4 linked regions of the Canis lupus familiaris genome follow. The protein of the gene in region 4 interacts with the protein of the main gene of each other region in a biochemical or structural test. Links are inferred from orthologs where the notes say so. Each region holds a gene or a part of one and is shown on either strand. Other genes may lie near its edges.

What was found. The genes of interacting proteins can lie anywhere in the genome.
Region 1: the proteins of PML (region 4) and CREBBP form a complex in vitro, tested with the Homo sapiens proteins (2 studies listed by BioGRID). The link is inferred for Canis lupus familiaris from reciprocal best matches to the Homo sapiens genes PML and CREBBP.
Region 2: of the proteins of PML (region 4) and RNF4, one has a biochemical effect on the other in vitro, tested with the Homo sapiens proteins (3 studies listed by BioGRID, with this or other methods). The link is inferred for Canis lupus familiaris from reciprocal best matches to the Homo sapiens genes PML and RNF4.
Region 3: of the proteins of PML (region 4) and HIPK2, one has a biochemical effect on the other in vitro, tested with the Homo sapiens proteins (2 studies listed by BioGRID). The link is inferred for Canis lupus familiaris from reciprocal best matches to the Homo sapiens genes PML and HIPK2.

What each region holds. Positions count from the first base shown.
Region 1 is NC_049227.1:37,710,928-37,715,173, reverse strand, and holds the start of CREBBP (CREB-binding protein), read right to left. Parts: upstream 2,804-4,246; 5' UTR 2,724-2,803; coding exon 2,639-2,723; intron 1-2,638. UniProt on the Homo sapiens protein: Acetylates histones, giving a specific tag for transcriptional activation. Mediates acetylation of histone H3 at 'Lys-18' and 'Lys-27' (H3K18ac and H3K27ac, respectively).
Region 2 is NC_049251.1:11,636,689-11,640,649, reverse strand, and holds the start of RNF4 (E3 ubiquitin-protein ligase RNF4), read right to left. Parts: upstream 2,804-3,961; 5' UTR 2,641-2,803; intron 106-2,640; 5' UTR 1-105. UniProt on the Homo sapiens protein: E3 ubiquitin-protein ligase which binds polysumoylated chains covalently attached to proteins and mediates 'Lys-6'-, 'Lys-11'-, 'Lys-48'- and 'Lys-63'-linked polyubiquitination of those substrates and their subsequent targeting to the proteasome for degradation.
Region 3 is NC_049237.1:8,903,723-8,907,703, reverse strand, and holds the start of HIPK2 (homeodomain-interacting protein kinase 2), read right to left. Parts: upstream 2,804-3,981; coding exon 1,722-2,803; intron 1-1,721.
Region 4 is NC_049251.1:37,672,041-37,676,261, reverse strand, and holds the start of PML (protein PML), read right to left. Parts: upstream 2,801-4,221; 5' UTR 2,681-2,800; coding exon 2,546-2,680; intron 300-2,545; coding exon 1-299.

The DNA.
Region 1 (4,246 bases), on a different chromosome or scaffold from region 4:
CCTTACTAGACTGCAAGTGCCCTGCGGGGAGCACCCTGGCTTGTGAGCTAGCTACCCAATGTCAGGAGTACTATTCTCTCCACCCAATGTCAGTCCCTTAGACTCACGCAACGGACACGATGGCTCCCCAGGCCAGTCCCTACAGACATGTGCTGCATGGTAGCAGTCCAAATCCCTCGTTTCTCAGGCCACCAGGCTGCCTCCTGCTCCTCCTAACCTCTCAGCTCTTCCCATGTACAGAACTCCCTTCAAATTCTATTATCACGGAAAAAGAAAACGCGCTTTGCTCCACCTGGCTCCATTTTTCTTCCAGGAGCCTCAAAAACACATCCCCTCACTTAAACGAGGTTGAGTCTCTCCCTACTTTCCCACCTACCCCAATGCCTTCACTCCTTTGATTGGACGTAATGTGATTCCTAGAGTCCTTTATTTGTTCAATATATATCCTTAGGATCTCTGTCTCAGACTACTGGTTACAGAAGACAAGGTTGTACCTCCTTTAATTTGCTCGATGACGATCCTTCCTTGGCCCCCGCACTGATAGACTCTGGCCAATAATGTGACGTGATGAAAACGTAACCAAGGTGACTTGACATAAGTATAATCATGAATTTTATTATTTAAATCAGAGCTATTAAAAATTTGTGTTCCCCATTTGGAAAAGAGTGAGCCCTCATGCTTTAGGAGGATCAACGTTGGAAAAGAAAGGGGAGAAAAAGTAGCCAAGAGGGAAAAATCCTTTCCGAAAAAATTTGTTGTGATTTAGCAGCGCATCAAGTAAATATCTGACCATCCATTAACAGAACTACCCAAAAAGGCCATTCTCTAGGCTCCACCTTGTTAACAGCTGAATGTATATATTCGGAAAACCCTTTCTGTTAAGTCTTGTGTTAGTAATTTATCCCTCTATAGAAAACACAATCTGCAATAGCCTCATTTGACAAGAGCAAAGCTGCAAAGCCATTCAAAAAGTTACCAGTTTCAGAAGACAAACTTCAAAGCTGAACTTGCCTGGTATGATCTATGTTTCATATGATTAAAGACTTTTCACTCAAACATAGCAAGATTAATGAAGCAAAAGAGATCTGTTCTATAGTAAAAGGGCATCTAAGTCATGGCTGTTTCCACATTTCTTACTTCAGACAAGCTGATTTGACAAAATAAACATCACACTCCACTCTATCAATTACAAAAAAGTATTAGTGACTTTTTGCCCCATGAGACTTATTTACTCCCCCCCCACCGTTTAACAAATTGTATTTAAACTAGATAAGAATCTCATGATATTTTAAAATATCCTTTCTCTCACACCTACATTACTATCCTTGAAATTGTATTAAAACCGAAGCCACAAAACCCAAGTAGTTTTGTTTCAACAGGAGAAACAGATTTTTTTAGACCATTAGTAGAAATATGCCAGTGGCCACAGAAATATTTGCACAAGCTGAACAGCTGTGTCTACTGCAAATCTGAAGGCATCGCTGCAGCAATATAATTCAATTTGGACCCATTCATTATAAACTGATTTTCAGATGCTGCTACTACCAAGACCGTACTGGAGAAATGCAGGCTGCGCTGGAGACAGAACTGTTCGCAGCGGTGCACAAGTTTTTACTGCAAAGGAGAGGTCTGAAAGAGGAAATACAACTCGATCATAATGCTACCGTGAACCAGCTCAGAAGAGCCCAGAGTTATTAAACGAATAGAAACTAAAATACTTAGGCAACTGATGGGATTACTTCACAAAGTTTTCATGGATGCTGTTTGAAAGAACGCTTCATTTAATACCTGGCTAAAAAAAAAAAAAAATTTTTTTTTGGAGGGGGTGGTGGTGGTGGGTGGGACCTGCGATTCCTACATTCCTTAACATAATTTTCTTTAATACACCCACAGTGTAAAAGCCCCACCAACTCAAGCCGGAGGATGTAGCCCGAAAGGATCTGCTGTACCTAAACTTTCTTTTAAGGTCATGCCTCTGAAGTTAAACACAGCACAGCAACTTGGATGACATCTTGCTAACCGAGTTGGGGCTGGTGCAAACGGAACGGCCTTGGGTAGACCCAACAACCAGAGTTTTTTCAAGACAAACTGCGAAAAGCATCTTCCCAAGGACCGCATCCCAAGAAACTTCCAAAGTCCCAACTCCCAGGTCGGCTGCTGCTACGAGCGAGCTGTGTGTGTGGAGCGTGTGTCCTGATCCGGATCGCAGCGCTGCGAATCGTGCTACCAGCTCAGAAAAGACTTTGGGTCGTCCCCCCACCCCCACCCCCGCTTCGCTGCACTTTTCCCCTCCGTCACCGGGAAGCCCACCCTCCGCTGTCAGCCCTCCAGGCAGCCCCGCGTGAGCCGACGCACGGCCGCACAGGGAGGCGCGCGGAACCGCCACGAAGCCCGGCGCGCTCCGCTCCCCTTGTGCTCCCCGCAGGTACCGCTCGCCTTCCGCGCGCGGAGGGCTCCCCAACTCCGGGGCTGGCCCCCCGCTCGGGGCCCCGGCGCCGTCCGGCCACAAACTTCCCCCTCGGCCCGGGCCGGCGGGGCCCCGGGCAGCGGCCGCGCGGGCTGGCGCCTCGGGGCGGGTCCCCCCGGCGCTAACCTGCGGGCTGGGCCCCCGCCCCCCGCCCGGGCCCCCCCTCCTCACCTGTGCTGTCATTCGCCGAGAAGCCGGGCGAGCTGAGTTTGGCTCGTTTGGGGTTGGGCGGTCCGTCCAGCAAGTTCTCGGCCATTTTCACCTGCTCGCGGAAACAGCCCCGAGCGCGGGCGGCCGGGCCGGCAAGAGCTCCGGGGCGGGGGTCGGCGCCGGCCCCGGCCGGCTGCGAGGGGAGAGCAGCGAGCGCGAGCCGCGAGCGAGCGCCGAGGGAGAGGGAGGGCGCAGGCCGGGTGGGGGAGGCGGCGGCCAAATCTCAGCCACAGCAACAGCGCCCCGCAGCGCTCACCGCCCGCCCCCGGCCGCCGCCGCCGCCGCCGCCGGCCGCGGCCCCCTCATCCCCTGCCCGCCTCCCGAGCGCGACACTCCGCGGCGGGGGCGCCCCGGCGGCCCGGCCGCCCCCCCGGGCCCGGCTGGCAGCGACGGCGCCCGGCCGGGCGGCTCAGGCAGTCCCCGGGAACATGGTGCCGCCGCCGCCGCCGCGCCGCCGCCTCGCTCCCCCCCCCCCCCCGCGCCCCACTTAATTAATTCGCTCGCGGCCCGACGACCGGGGGGCTCCGGGCTCCGCTCCCCGCCCGCGGCCCGCCGCCGCCGCCGCCGCCGTGAGGAAAAACAATGCGCGAAGCGGGGCCGCCGCCGCCGCCGCCGCGGCCCCCCCCACCCCCCGTTCCGCCGCCGCCGCCGCCGCCGCCGCCGCCTGCCGCCGCCGCCGCCGCCGCCGCGGCTCCGGGAGGCCGAGCCGAGAGGCGAGCGGGGCCGCCGGAGCGGGCACCGAGGGCCGGGCGGAGCGGGCCGGCCGGGCGGAGCGGGGGTGCGCGGGCGGTTGTGGGGCCCGGGACCGGCGGGGGCCGAGTAGATCGCGCTCGAAGCCCCGGTCGGGTCCGCGACAAGATGGCGGCTGTTGATTCCTCAATTAAAAAAAAAAGAAAGTTTTTTTTCTTCTCTTTCCAGAGCCTGAACGGGGAGGGGGAGGGGGCGGGGCACGCCGGTGCGTCACCCCCCCCGCGGCGTCACCACGCACGGCCCCCGCCCCGCCCCCTCCACCTGCGCCGTTCGCGGCGGAAAGAGCCGAGCGCGCTCGGGCGGAAGGGGCCGAAGGCGCGGCCGGCGTGCGTGGGGCGGCGGGGCTGCCCCGGCGGCGCAGCGGCCGCGCCTGTGGGACGCCCCGCGCCCCGCGCGGCAGCCACTTTTGTTCTGCTGGCCGCTGGGCGGCTAGGGCCAGGGCTGCGGCCTGGCGGCGAGCGGGGCCCCCGGGCGTGGAGTCGGCGCCGGCCGGGCCCGCCCGTCCCGCTGGGCGACTCTGCCCGGTCCCCGGTTCCTCGCGTCCCTGCCCGCGACCGTCTCCCGGTTGACCGGGCCTGGCCGCCTCCCCTCACCGGTTGCCAGCGACGCATCGGGGCTCCCGCAGGTTGCAGACCGTCCGCGAGTGTGTGCAGAGGGGGAAACTGAGGCAGGAGGGGGCAGGATCGGGACTCGAGCCCCCCCCCCCCAACTGGAGTGCGGGGGACGCAAGATGCCCTGTTCCCCCAGCCCGATGCGTCGGGGCTGCCTGCGCGACGGCCTCACCTGCACGGGAGGTGGTGGGTGCGACCTCCCCGGGCT
Region 2 (3,961 bases), about 26 Mb from region 4:
TCTGGTTGCTCCTCTCTCCACCTCTACAACTGCTGTGTTCCTACGTAGGTGGGTTTATGAGGCTTCTGGATGTCACTTTTAAGACTACACAACCTGAATTTTTAACTGTAAAAAAGAGAAAAAGTAAATTTTGGTAATATCTAACGTAAAATTGATAGTATAAAATGAATAGATATCTAGAGGAAAAAAATGTGTACTCAAAATATTTGGATAATTATGCATTTAAACAAAGTTTAAGCTTTTGTCTTTCCACATTCCATGTCCTGATGACAGTGGGAAGAAGAAGTCCAAAGGGCACTAACATGAAGAAAAGCACAAAATCACTTCATGCTGGGGCATCTGGGTGGTGCAGTCAATTGAGCGTCTGGCTATTAGTTTTGGCTGGGTCATGGTCTCAAGCCCCATATGGGGCTCTGAGCTCTATGTGGAGTCTGCTTGACTCTCTAAAACAGTGGATGAATACATCTTTAAAAAAAGAGAAAAAAAAGTACTGCATACCAAGAAAGTGTCACTACTTCATCTAAGATCCAGTGTGAGGATGTCAAGGAAACACGTTTTTTTTTGTTTTTTTGTTTTTTTTTTTTTTTTTTAGAGAGAGAGAGAAGGAGAAGGAGCAGAGGAAGAGGTTGAGAGAGAATCTTAAGCAGACTCTATACCCAGTACAAAGCCCAACTGGGGGCTTGTTTTCACAACCTAAGCTGAAATCAAGTCAGATCAATCAAATCAAGTCAGACACTTAACTGACTAAGCCACCCAGGTGCCCTGGAAACACTTATTTTTTACAAAGAAAAATTAAGAGACCAAAAAGTTATTTGCACATTTGGGTTTCTAATAGCAAATAAGAAATGAACCATTTAGTCCATGCAGAGATTCATCTTGTGCAGTGTTCCCTTTCTAACAGAGATAACAAGAGAAATTTTCTTGAAGAGTTTTATCACAGATTCTCTTTTAGGAAAGAGGGGGTGGAGTTCAAGCATTTGCCTTAGAGAGACTTGTTTTGAGTCTAGGCTCTGTGACTTTGGACATGTGATGTAGACGGTTAAAGTTCTCAAAACCTCAGCATGTAAATTCTTTCTAAAAATAATTTTGTTGGGACACTTGGGTGGCTCATTGGTTGAGCATCTGCCTTCAGCTCAGGGCATGATCCCGGGTCCTGGGACCGAGTCCACATCGGGCTCCCTGCAGGGAGCCTGCTTCTCCCTCTGACTATGTCTCTGCCTCTCTCTCTCTCTCTCTCTCTCTCTCTTTCTGTGTGTGTGTGTGTCTCTCATGAATAAATAAAATCTTTTAAAAATAATAATAAAGAAAAATTTAAATTTTGTAATTTAAAAAACAATGCATCCTCAGTCATCATTAGGGAAATGCATATTATAGCCATTATGAGATACCACTTCACACTCACTAGGATGACTATAATTTAAGAAATAGAAAATATCAAGTGTTGTTGAGGATGTAGAAAAATTGAGATTCTCATATAGTGCTGGTGGGAATGTAAAATGGTGCAGCAGCTTTGGAAAACAGTCTGGCAGTTCCTCAAAAGGTTAAACATAGAGTTACCATATGACTCCGCAACTCCACTCCAAGAGAATTGAAAGCTTCTGTCCAATCTGAAAACTTGTACAAGAATGTTAATAACAGGGCAGCCCCAGTGGTGCAGCGGTTTAGCGCCGCCTGCAGCCCAGGCGTGATCCTGGAGACCCTGGATCGAGTCCCATGTCAGGCTCTCTGTATGATGCCCGCTTCTCCCTCTGCCTGTGTCTCTGCCTCTCTCTCTCTCTCTCTCTGTCTCTATGAATAAATAAATAAATAAAAATCTTTAAAAAAAGAATGTGGATAACAATATCATTCTTAATACCACAAAAAGTAGAAACAACCTGAGTACCTACTGAATAATGAATGGATAAACAAAATGTGATATATCAATAGAATGAAGTATTATTCAGCAGTAAAATAAAAAAATAAAGGACAGATACTTGCTATAATATGGATGATCTTTGAAAACATCATATAAAGTCATAGAAGCCAATCACCAAAGACCATAAACGGTTTGATTCCTTTAATATAAAATGTCAAGAACAGGCAACTCCTTAGAGACAGAAAGGTGAGTGGTTCCTTAGGCCTGGGGTGTTGAGGAGAAATAGGAAATGACTGCTAATGGGTACAGGGTTTCTTTTGGGATCAGGAAAATGTCCTAAAATTGAAGTGATGTCTGCACATCTCTGTGAATACACTAAAACCCACTGAGTGGTGTTACGTTGAACACGAATTGTATGGTTTGTGAATTATATCTCAATAAAGCCTTTTTTTTTATTATTATTATTTTAAATGGCAGAGACAGAGGCAAGGGAGAAGCAGACTCCATGCAGGGAGCCCGAATGTGGGACTTGATCCGGGACCCTAGTGCCATGCCCTGAGCCAAAGGCAGATGCCCAACCTCTGAGCCACCCAGACGTCCCTCAATAAAGCTTTTACAAAAACAAACATAGAAGCTGCCATAGAAATGTTACACAAAACAGTGTGACACAATCTGGATTTAGACACAAGCCCTAGAACCCGTGGGGGAAATGTGGGACCCTAAAGGAAAATGGGGAGGAGGGCACCCGAGGACGGCCCAGCGCTCCGCCGGACGCGCCCACTCACCGAGGCAAGTCTTGTCTTAGGCCCTGGACAGCTGCCTTCGGCCGGTCGCCGCCCTTCAGTGACCCCTCGCTCCTCCTCCTCCGCGCTGTTCCCAGGGAGAGAGAACCTTCAGGTGGAGGCGGGGGAGCCCGGAACGGAAGCGCCCGCCACCGCCCACCCAGCCACGCACCCCAGCGATGACTTAGCGGTTCTGTCTGGTCCAGCCCAGTCCCGCGCCGGCAGCTATCCAGCCAGGACGCCCTGGAGGGCCGGCTGCCCGCCGCGCGCCACGCCTCAGCCTCCGCGCCGCTCCCCGGCCGGCCTGCGCCGAGCGCGGGGGCGCGAACCCAGGCGCCCGGCTACCCGCCGCCGGGAGCGAGGACCGGGAGGCGCGGCCCCGGAGCGGACTCACCGCGAGCGCGCTCCGGCGCGGCGGCGCGCAGGCAGGAGCCCGGCCACGGTCTCCGAGGGGTCTCGGCCCAGGCTAGCGACAGGACGGCGGAAGGCGTTGGGGCTCTCCCTCCTTTTAATCCGCTATTTTCATTTCTCACCTGCCCAATCAAAACCCGAGGCCACGGGCCGCGTCATCAGTCTCTGGGCGGAACGCCGTGTACCGGGTTAGGAAAGGGTTAGCTTCGTCCTCAGAAGAGAGAGGCGCCAGAATGTTGTTCTTTAGATCAGCTACTCCCCACTCTCAAGAAAAAGTGGTTCTCATTCAATAGAGGCAGTATCGCCTCTCTAAAAGTTTTGAAAATTAACAGGGCTATTTTTGGTTGTTCCAATGATGTGTGGTCACTGGGGGTACTAGGGGCTGAGGGCCAGGGCCCCAGGGCCCCCCCCCCCCATTCTTTCTCTCCCTCCCTCTCTCTCTCTCTCTCATTCAGTGTATGAAAAACCTGCTCATAATCTGGTCTTTACAATCAGATGTAAAAAAGTGTTTTATTTTTCAATTATTTTGTTATTTTTAAAAGATTTTATTTATTGATTCATGAGAGACACGGAGAGGCAGAGACATAGGCAGAGAAAGAAGCAGACTTCCTGCAGGGAGCCCGATGCGGGACTGGATCCCTGGACCCTTGGATCAGAACCTGAGCCAAAGGCAGCGGCTCAACCCCTGAGCCACTAGGTGGCCTTCATTTCTTGATTATGTATTGACTATTTACTATGCCAGGACTGTTAGTTACCAAACCAAACAAAGGCCTGCTCCTTGATGAGTTATAGACAGGGACTACACCAAACGGAGTTGCCTTACAAAGTCAACTTTATTTGTACAAACAAGGCGATCATGGGAAATCATTTCCAAAGGTGTGTCTCCCTGAACAAGGGAAATTTTGCAGGCTCT
Region 3 (3,981 bases), on a different chromosome or scaffold from region 4:
GCTCAGGAGATGGCAGGGGTAGGGGTTGGGAGGGGAGGCAGCACAGAGCCACAACAGGGTCCCCGTGGATGGGGGGACACGACCTGTGGCTCAGATCTCTCAGGAAAGGGGGCGTGAGGTTATCCACCGAGACTCACAGGCTGAGGATGGGTAAAGGGGTCAGCTATGGGGACAGGTGACCAGTCAGCTGGGCCCACGTGACGTAGCCCATTTTGCAGCGTTTCTCTGTGGCCTAGAGGGAAGGGTGGAGAAAGCACACCTACGATCAGAGTGTCAGGGCACAGGGGCTCAGGCACATGAGTCTTGGGACTCTGGTTTTATGGCTATGTGGCAATCTCTTAAATGCGTGCCAGTGCTATCTTCTCACGGGAGTTTTAGGATGTTTCCTGCTAACCTCCACAATCACTGGACTGCTCGACATCCCCTCAAGCACAGCCCATCAATGTCTCCCCAGAACAGACTCTTCTGCTTCCCATTTCTCTCCACTCCTCACGCACTGACCACGAGCTGGCCAGTGAGGAAAGCACTCCGGCCGCGTCACTGCGGTCCACTGTCCCAGCAACCCTGAGGCTGGTGACCGGACTTCCCCAGCTTATGGGTGAGGAAGTGAAGGCACAGAGAAACAAGGCAACAAGGCTACACCACACAGCTTACTGAGTGTGGGGATTCAGGCCAGCCTTGGGTCTCTCGGACTCTAAAGCCAGTGTTCTCTCATCTGGGTCCCCACAGAGCTGCTGCTCCCAACCCCAGCTGCGCACTGGGATCCCCAGAAAAGCTGTTAGAAAGCACCCATGCAGGACCCCACACCCAGAAGGGCTGATTCAGTTTGTGGGGATTAGGACCCAAGCCAGGTTAGTTTTCAACACCATCCCTCACCCCACCCCATCCCCCATCCGACGCACAGCCGAGATGGGGAACCAGTCCACTGGAGACTCCAGGATGGTGAGGGCCTGGCCGGGGCTGTTGTGCCGCATGCTGGTGCCCAGCACATGCTGGAGTTCTTGCTGAGTGAGTGAGGAGCGTAAGTTTTGCACTCCCTGCCTGGGCGGCCACAGGCCTCCCTCTGTCCTGACCAAATCCAAATCGGGAGCTCTCTACTGCAGGCGGGGGCTGACTGGCCTCTGGGCCTCTGCTCGCCCTCCTGCCTCCCCAGGGACATAAAAGCCATCTTCCCAGCATCACTTTCACCCTGCTACCTGTTCTGGCACCTCAGTGCGTGCTCCATGGTTGCAACCCCTTAGTGTGATATTTAAGATCCCCCCGACACCCTGCTCCAAGCTACTCTTTCAATCCTATCAGCCACTACCCACAGATTCCCTGCTGTGGCCTAATGGGGGGCAGGTGTCCTCCTTGTCTTCCATGAGAGTCTTGGGTGTTCCTACAGCAGTGATTTCAGTAATGCATGCCCCTCTGGCCCAGCCTGCCCAGGTCTGGATCCTCCCTATGTGTCGGGGGACCTAACCCCCCCTGCCAAGCCCTGCACCCTGGCCTCTAGGCATCCCTTTGGACTCTGAACATCTATGCCAAGGAGCACACTGGCTTCCTTCTTACGTGGCTTCTAACCATCATTTCCATATACATGTCCTAATTGTCTGACTAAATGATGATGCCTTGAGGGCAATCCTGGAGAAGTGTCATTCACATCCCCCCTACCCCCCAGCAACCACCACGCAGCGCCAGTGGGCCCTCGGCATCTCCTGTCCCTGAGCAAGCGCTCTTACCTGTAGTATCTGGACTGCAGGTAGGTGGAACACACAGCCTTGGACACATGACTGGCCGAACCGAAGTCGATGACCTTTACTCTGTAGGGCTGTCGGGAAGGATCTACCAGCATGATGTTTTCTGGTTTGAGGTCGGCATGGATGAGACCTAGGCTCTTCAGTTTCATCAGGGCTGTGGCTACCTGCTGGAGGACTGGGCGAATGTATTTGAGGGGCAAGGGGCTAAACTTGTTCTGCTTCAGAAAGTCATAGAGGTTCTGCTCCAACATCTCAAAGACCAAGCACGTGTGGTTCTTGTGCTGGAAGCATTCATAGGCGCGGACAAAGTTGTAGTCGTCGGCGCTCTCCGTGCTCAAGCGGGCCAGGATGCTCACCTCGATCTGACCTTGCCGGGCATATGACGGGTGGTTCTTCAGGATCTTGATGGCCACGATTTCGTTGGTGCCCCGTTTCCAGCACTTGACCACTTGCCCAAACGTCCCTCGGCCCAGGAATTCTAAAACTTCGTAAGTGTTGGTCATGGAGCACAGCACCTCATGCTGAACCAGCTGGTAATCACCTTCGCTGTTAGAGCCACTGTTTTTGGAGGTGGCAGTCGATGTGGTGGCAGTGGCTACGGTGGCCCCACTTGCATTATTCTGAATCATGGGTGGATGCTCTTCAATGATCTGCACGCTGCTTGTGTTCTCAATCTCCTCACTCTTACGCTTGAGTCCACATTTTTGGTAGGTATCAAGAAGGCTCACAGTGCTTCGACGCATTAGGTTATGTGGTCCGCCGAGGACTTGCCCAGTGACAGAAGTGCTACTTGCTGATGTTACAACTATGTGCCCGGTGCTTCCTGGGAAGATGATGGTCTGCTCGTAAGGTAGGCTTGGGTTTGGGATCGGCAAGGAGGTGCTGACGGTTGTGGTGGCTGGCTGAGAAGGTGGTACGTTCTTGCTCTGGCTATACACTTTGCTGTGGGAGCCGTACCCAGTCATGTCCCAGGTGGAACTCGGCTCTACTTTCAGTTTCTTCACACTACAGAAGGCACTTGATTGAAGGGTGTGAGGGGAGAAGACTTGCACATGTGAGGCCATACCTACAAGAAAAAGAAAGGGAAAAATCAATATTTTAGTCACCATTGAATGAATGGATTCAGCGATTTGTCTCAGTTCTGGCCAATGGCTTGGGTCCTACAGAATACTTTCACTCTACTTCAAAGCAAGGTTGGGAAAGAGAATCTATTCCCCCTCTCCGCCAAGCTCATTCTGGCCACTCAAGTTTGGGTGGGGCCAAGGAGTTCTGGTGTTCAGCCTTGCCACAATTAGGGGGATGGGGGAATTGTGGAATCACTCAGGAATACAATCAAGATTCAGATACAGAATTAGAGTATCAGGACTTTGTTCATTACTTATCTTTTTATAAATATTGTTCATGATAGAAACAGATTCTTCCTCAATTCTCACTGGGCTGCAATCCTACTAAAACCAACTGTATTAGGTGACCCAGGTAACTGTTATATCCGAAGTTGTCCCGCATGGTCTACTACGCCTTGTCACACACCCTGTCAGGTTAGCTCATTTGAAGAAACATCTTCCCACATAGGTCTAATCATGGAGCCACTCAAGATGTGCTAGCTTCTGGATGAACCATAAGTACCCCCTGGGATCTTAGATATCTTAAATGAATTCTGTAGAGCTGAGTAGATCAGCAGTCGGTCTGATATTTTTTTTTTTTTAATTTTTTTTTGGTCTGATATTTTCATTTAGGTGGCCTAAACAAAACATCTGATCATTTATTTTATATGTTTTATAACATTAAAATATTTATTTATTTTGGGGGAGGAGTAAGTAGCACCATTCACGGGCACTCACTAACTTTTCCTGCTAAATTCATCTATTAATATGTTTATCTAGAAAGTACTGTTATTTCATACCAACACCTCAGCCACAATTGAGATAACCTCAGAAATCTATAAAACCATAACTCTGGAATAGTTGTATGATTTACAATTATGGTGATTCTAGAAACAACAACAACAAAAAAGTCAAGAAAACTACCAAGAAAAAATAAGACAATGAGGAAGGTAAGTTCTTAGAGATGAAAGTAAAGACAAACACTGCTCATCATCTAACTGCAGCTGATAAACATTTCTCATAGAAGCACAAGGACAGCTGGGTTTCCGTCAAGCACCACTACTATCTAGCCACCCTTATGTTCATGTCTCTGACTCCTTCGCATTAGCTGGAGTGGTCATTGAACATTTTCCTTCCCA
Region 4 (4,221 bases):
TGCTCGCACTCAAAACACCAGAAGTCCGCAGGTTCTTTGCATCGGGTGCAAACAGCTTGCGCGTCCACGATCTGCCTGTAAACCGACAGGCGCCGCTGCAGGCTCTCGAAGAAGACGTTGTCCAGGGCCGGCGAGCCAGCGCCTAGAGGCCCGGGCACCTGGCAGATGGAGCAGCGCAGGCCCGATGCCTCCAGGCATCCCGAGCAGAGCGTGTGCAGACACGGCAGCAGCTTGGGGCACTTGGCTTCGGCCTGGCAGCTCTGGCAGCACAGAAACTGGAACTCCTCCTCCAGGGCTTGCTGGGGGACCAGAGAGGTGGGGTGAGGCCTGAAATCCCGGAGCCCCCCCCCAGATCCTCTGCAGGGAGCACGGCACTACGAGGCCCGGACACCCAAGGATGGGAGCATAAATCCCTACCTTCAAGGGACTCGCTCTAGAAAGGAGATACGTGAAGCGTATCTCATGTAAATCATAAACAGTGCTTAATATGGTTTGGTGGAGGGGCACCTGGGGGCTCAGGGCGTGATCCTGGGGTCCTGGGATCGAGTCCCGCATTGGGCTCCCTGCATGGAGCCTGCTTCTCCCTCTGCCTATGTCTCTGCCTCTCTCTCTGTGTGTGTCTCTCATGAATAAATAAATAAAATCTTAAAAATATATATGGTTTGGTGGCTCCTGAAGAAGTTAAACACAGGAGTACTATATAACCCAGCAATTTCATTCCTAGATAGATTTCCCAAAATAACTGAAGACAAGTAGCTGAACAGATACTTTACACCCATGTCCACAGCACCATCATGCACAGGCTCCAAAAGGTAGAAATAACCCAAGTGTCCATCAACAAATGAACAGATAAACAAAACCGGTCTACGCGTGCAATGGAGTATCATTCAGTTTTTAAAAATGAAGGAAGAGGGACGTCTGGGTGGCTCAGCAGTTGAGCATCTGCCTTTGGCCCAGGGCGTGATCCTGGGGTCCCTGGATCGAGTCCCATATCGGGCTCCCTGCAAGGAGCCTGCTTCTCCCTCTGCCTGCGTCTCTGCCTCTCTCAAATAAATAAAATCTTTAAAAAAATCTTTAAAAAAATATATAAATAAAATAAAATCTTTAAAAAAGAAAATGAAGGAAGGGGCGCCTGGCTGGCTCAGTTGGTGGAGAATGTGACTCTTGATCTTGGGTTTGTGAGTTCAAGCCCCACACTGGGTGTAGAGGTTACTTAAAAATAAGATCTTTACCAAAAATAACATAAAATAAAATGAAAAGGAAGTAAATTCTCATACATGCTATGAGAACCTTGAAAACATTAGGCTAAGCAAAATAAGACAAACACGAAGGGACAAATAATTGGATGGCTCACTTATATGAAATATCTAGCATCGGCAGATCCACAGCAGCAGAAAAGTAGAGTGGAGGTTACCAGGAGCTGGGAGAAGCGGGTAAATAAGGAGCTACTGCTTAGGGAGTACAGTTTCTGTGGAGGGTGATGAAAAAAATTCTGGAAATAGATGGTGGTTGACGGTTACCCAACATTGTGAATATATTCAATGCCACTGAAATGTACACTTAAAAACCGTTAAGTTTTTGGGGCACCTGGCTGGCTCAGTGAGCGCAGCACGAGGCTCTGGATCCTGCGGTTGTTAAGTTCAAGCCCCATGCTGGGCGTAGAGATTACTTAGAAGAAATAAAAATGTTAAAAACATGGTAATTTTAATATTATGGATATTTTCTAGAAAAAAAAAGGGGGAAAAAGTGCTTAATAAAGTACTGGCCCACGAGGAATGTTCACAAGGAAGTAGTACGATTCCTAGTTGTAATAATGCACAGAATAGAAGTTACTGCAGGATGGTGCTTTCATGAAGGGCCTGGGAAAACACACTGCATGAGATGTGAAGTAGCTCCTCTGGGGCAGGAGGGCAGCTGGGGAGCTTGTCCCGAGCAGACCCAGGCAAGCTTCCGGGAAGAGGCCCCAGGAAACCCGGAGCAGACCCAGGCAAGCTTCCGGAAGAGGCCCCAGTACACCCTTTGTGGACCCAGGGTGGGGGTGCGGGGGTGGAGGGCACACAGGGTGTTCCAACAGAAGGATCTTGGAGGTAGGTATCCTAGCGGAGAAGCCACCCCAAGAGCTGTGAGGCCTTAGCCAAGACACTTCTCTCGTCTGGGCCAGGTTCCCACTTCCTGATCTGGGAACTCGGCTTTTGGTTTTCCACACTTGGGACATGCCCCTGGCTCTCGGCCTGCTCCCCAGGGCTACCCCGCCATCCCCCGAATCCCTGGACCTTCATCTGAGGCTCAGGGGGGCAAGTCGCCAGGGTGGGCAGATGAGTCCAGGCCCTCAGCACCTTGCCCCCTGTCCGTGGGGCATGCCAGCCCCGAGGCCCCCCCAGCTCACCCTGGTACCCTTTCCCACTCTCAGCTGCCCCGAGGGTCGGGGCCCAGTGTCTGGCTTTCTCTCTGGGTCACTCTGGGGAGGTGCCTGGCCTCGCTGTCCCCTCCCTTTCCCGAAGCCATCAACCAAGCCTCCACCCCACCTCCCCAAGCCCAGTGGTACCTCCGCGGGGCTGCGGCTGGGGCTGGGCTGGTGGCCCTCGGAGGCGGGCTCCGGGGGAGGCATGCTGGGCGCCCCGGACGGTGCGGGGTCCTGCCCGGGCGCCGGAGAGCGGGGGGGCGCGGGCTCCTGCTGCATGGATCCCAGCACAGTTTCGCTTCTGGGTTTTGAGCCTGAGGGGGGAGGAGAAGCGAAACCGAGAGGCAGGGACCGGATCGCGGTCGCCGGAGCCCGTGGGAGGGACGGCCCCACTCAGGGCCCGCCTCCCCGGAGGAAGTGAGACAGAGCCGGGGGGCGGTTCTAGGGCCGGGGAGGGGGGGTCTGGAGACACGCCCCGAGCCGGAGGGAGGAGGGGAGGAGAGAAGATGCTCAGCCGACCTGGGGGTAACCCGGCCGCGGCCTGGCCTAGCGGGAGGGAGGCCGGGCCGCCCTTGGCTTGACCCCGGGCACAGACAGGAGCCACAGGTGGGCCTGCTTTGGAAGAACCCAGGTCTAAGCGAGAGCAGTCACCCAAACAGGTTTGCACGCTGCAGAGGGGCAGGCCGGAAAGGAGATCTCAGCTGGGACGTGCAGGAACTTGGGGATGGGGAACGCTTGCAACAGCACGAGCAAAGGCATGGAGGTTTGAAACAGGAGAGTCTGTTTAGAAACCAGTTTCCAGGGATGCCCGGGTGGCTCAGCGGTTTAGCGCCTGCCTTCAGCCCGGGGTGTGATCCTGGAGACCCCAGATCGAGTCCCACATCGGGCTCCCTGCATGGAACCTGCTTCTCCCTCTGCCTGTGTTGTGTCTCTGCCCCTCTCTCTGTGTGTGTGTGATGTCTCATGAATAAATAAATAAAATCTTAAAAAGAAACCGGTTTTCATTATTTTCAAATTTAAGAGGGGACCCATGAGCAGGATCAGGGCTAAGGAGATGCACTTGTTCTGTGGGCAACAGCGTGAGATTAGAACCCAGAAACATGACCCAACACGCATGTTGGGACAGTCACTCTGGCAACCTGGGATGGGTGACCTGGTCTAGGACAATGGCTGTGGGATGCAGAGGAGGGATCTGAGTCTGAGACACCAGGAGGACAGTGAGTGGAGCTGAGGGGAACAGGATGATGCCTTGGTTGAGAGTTGGAAAGGTTGGTGAGTCTGAGGCAGCGCAGGCAGGGAGTGGAAGGGGAGAGCCGACGAGCAGGTATGAAGACAGCGAGGAGAGAGCAAGTTAGTTCTTGGCTAAAGGGGAAGCATGCCAGCTCCCAGCTGGTGAGGGTAGGAAGCACAACCTCGGGCAGCTTCACTGGATGAAGGGCCCTGGCTTCAAACACCAAACCACCCCAACCACTGTATTACCCGCTGGGTACAATTCTGTGCTCAGTTCCAGCTTGGAGCGGACTAGGGATGGTGATGGGACCTTGCTCTTGTAAAGTTTATCCTCTGGGCTATGTGGGGAAAGGGATTGGCAGGGAGACCCCACTTCCCAGGACCGTGTGAGGCCTCAGGGGCCCTACCCTTCCCTCCAGCCTGATCAGTACCCTCAGGGCTTCAGAATCAGGCCATCAAACTAGAAAAAGCCAAAGATGGTGAGCAGCATCTGCAGAAGGGACCTGGAAGGGTCACATCAGGGGGTGTGAGGGTCTGAGGAGGCAGGATTGGCATGTGGCTGAGACAAGGAAAGCTTCATTATTTGTTTG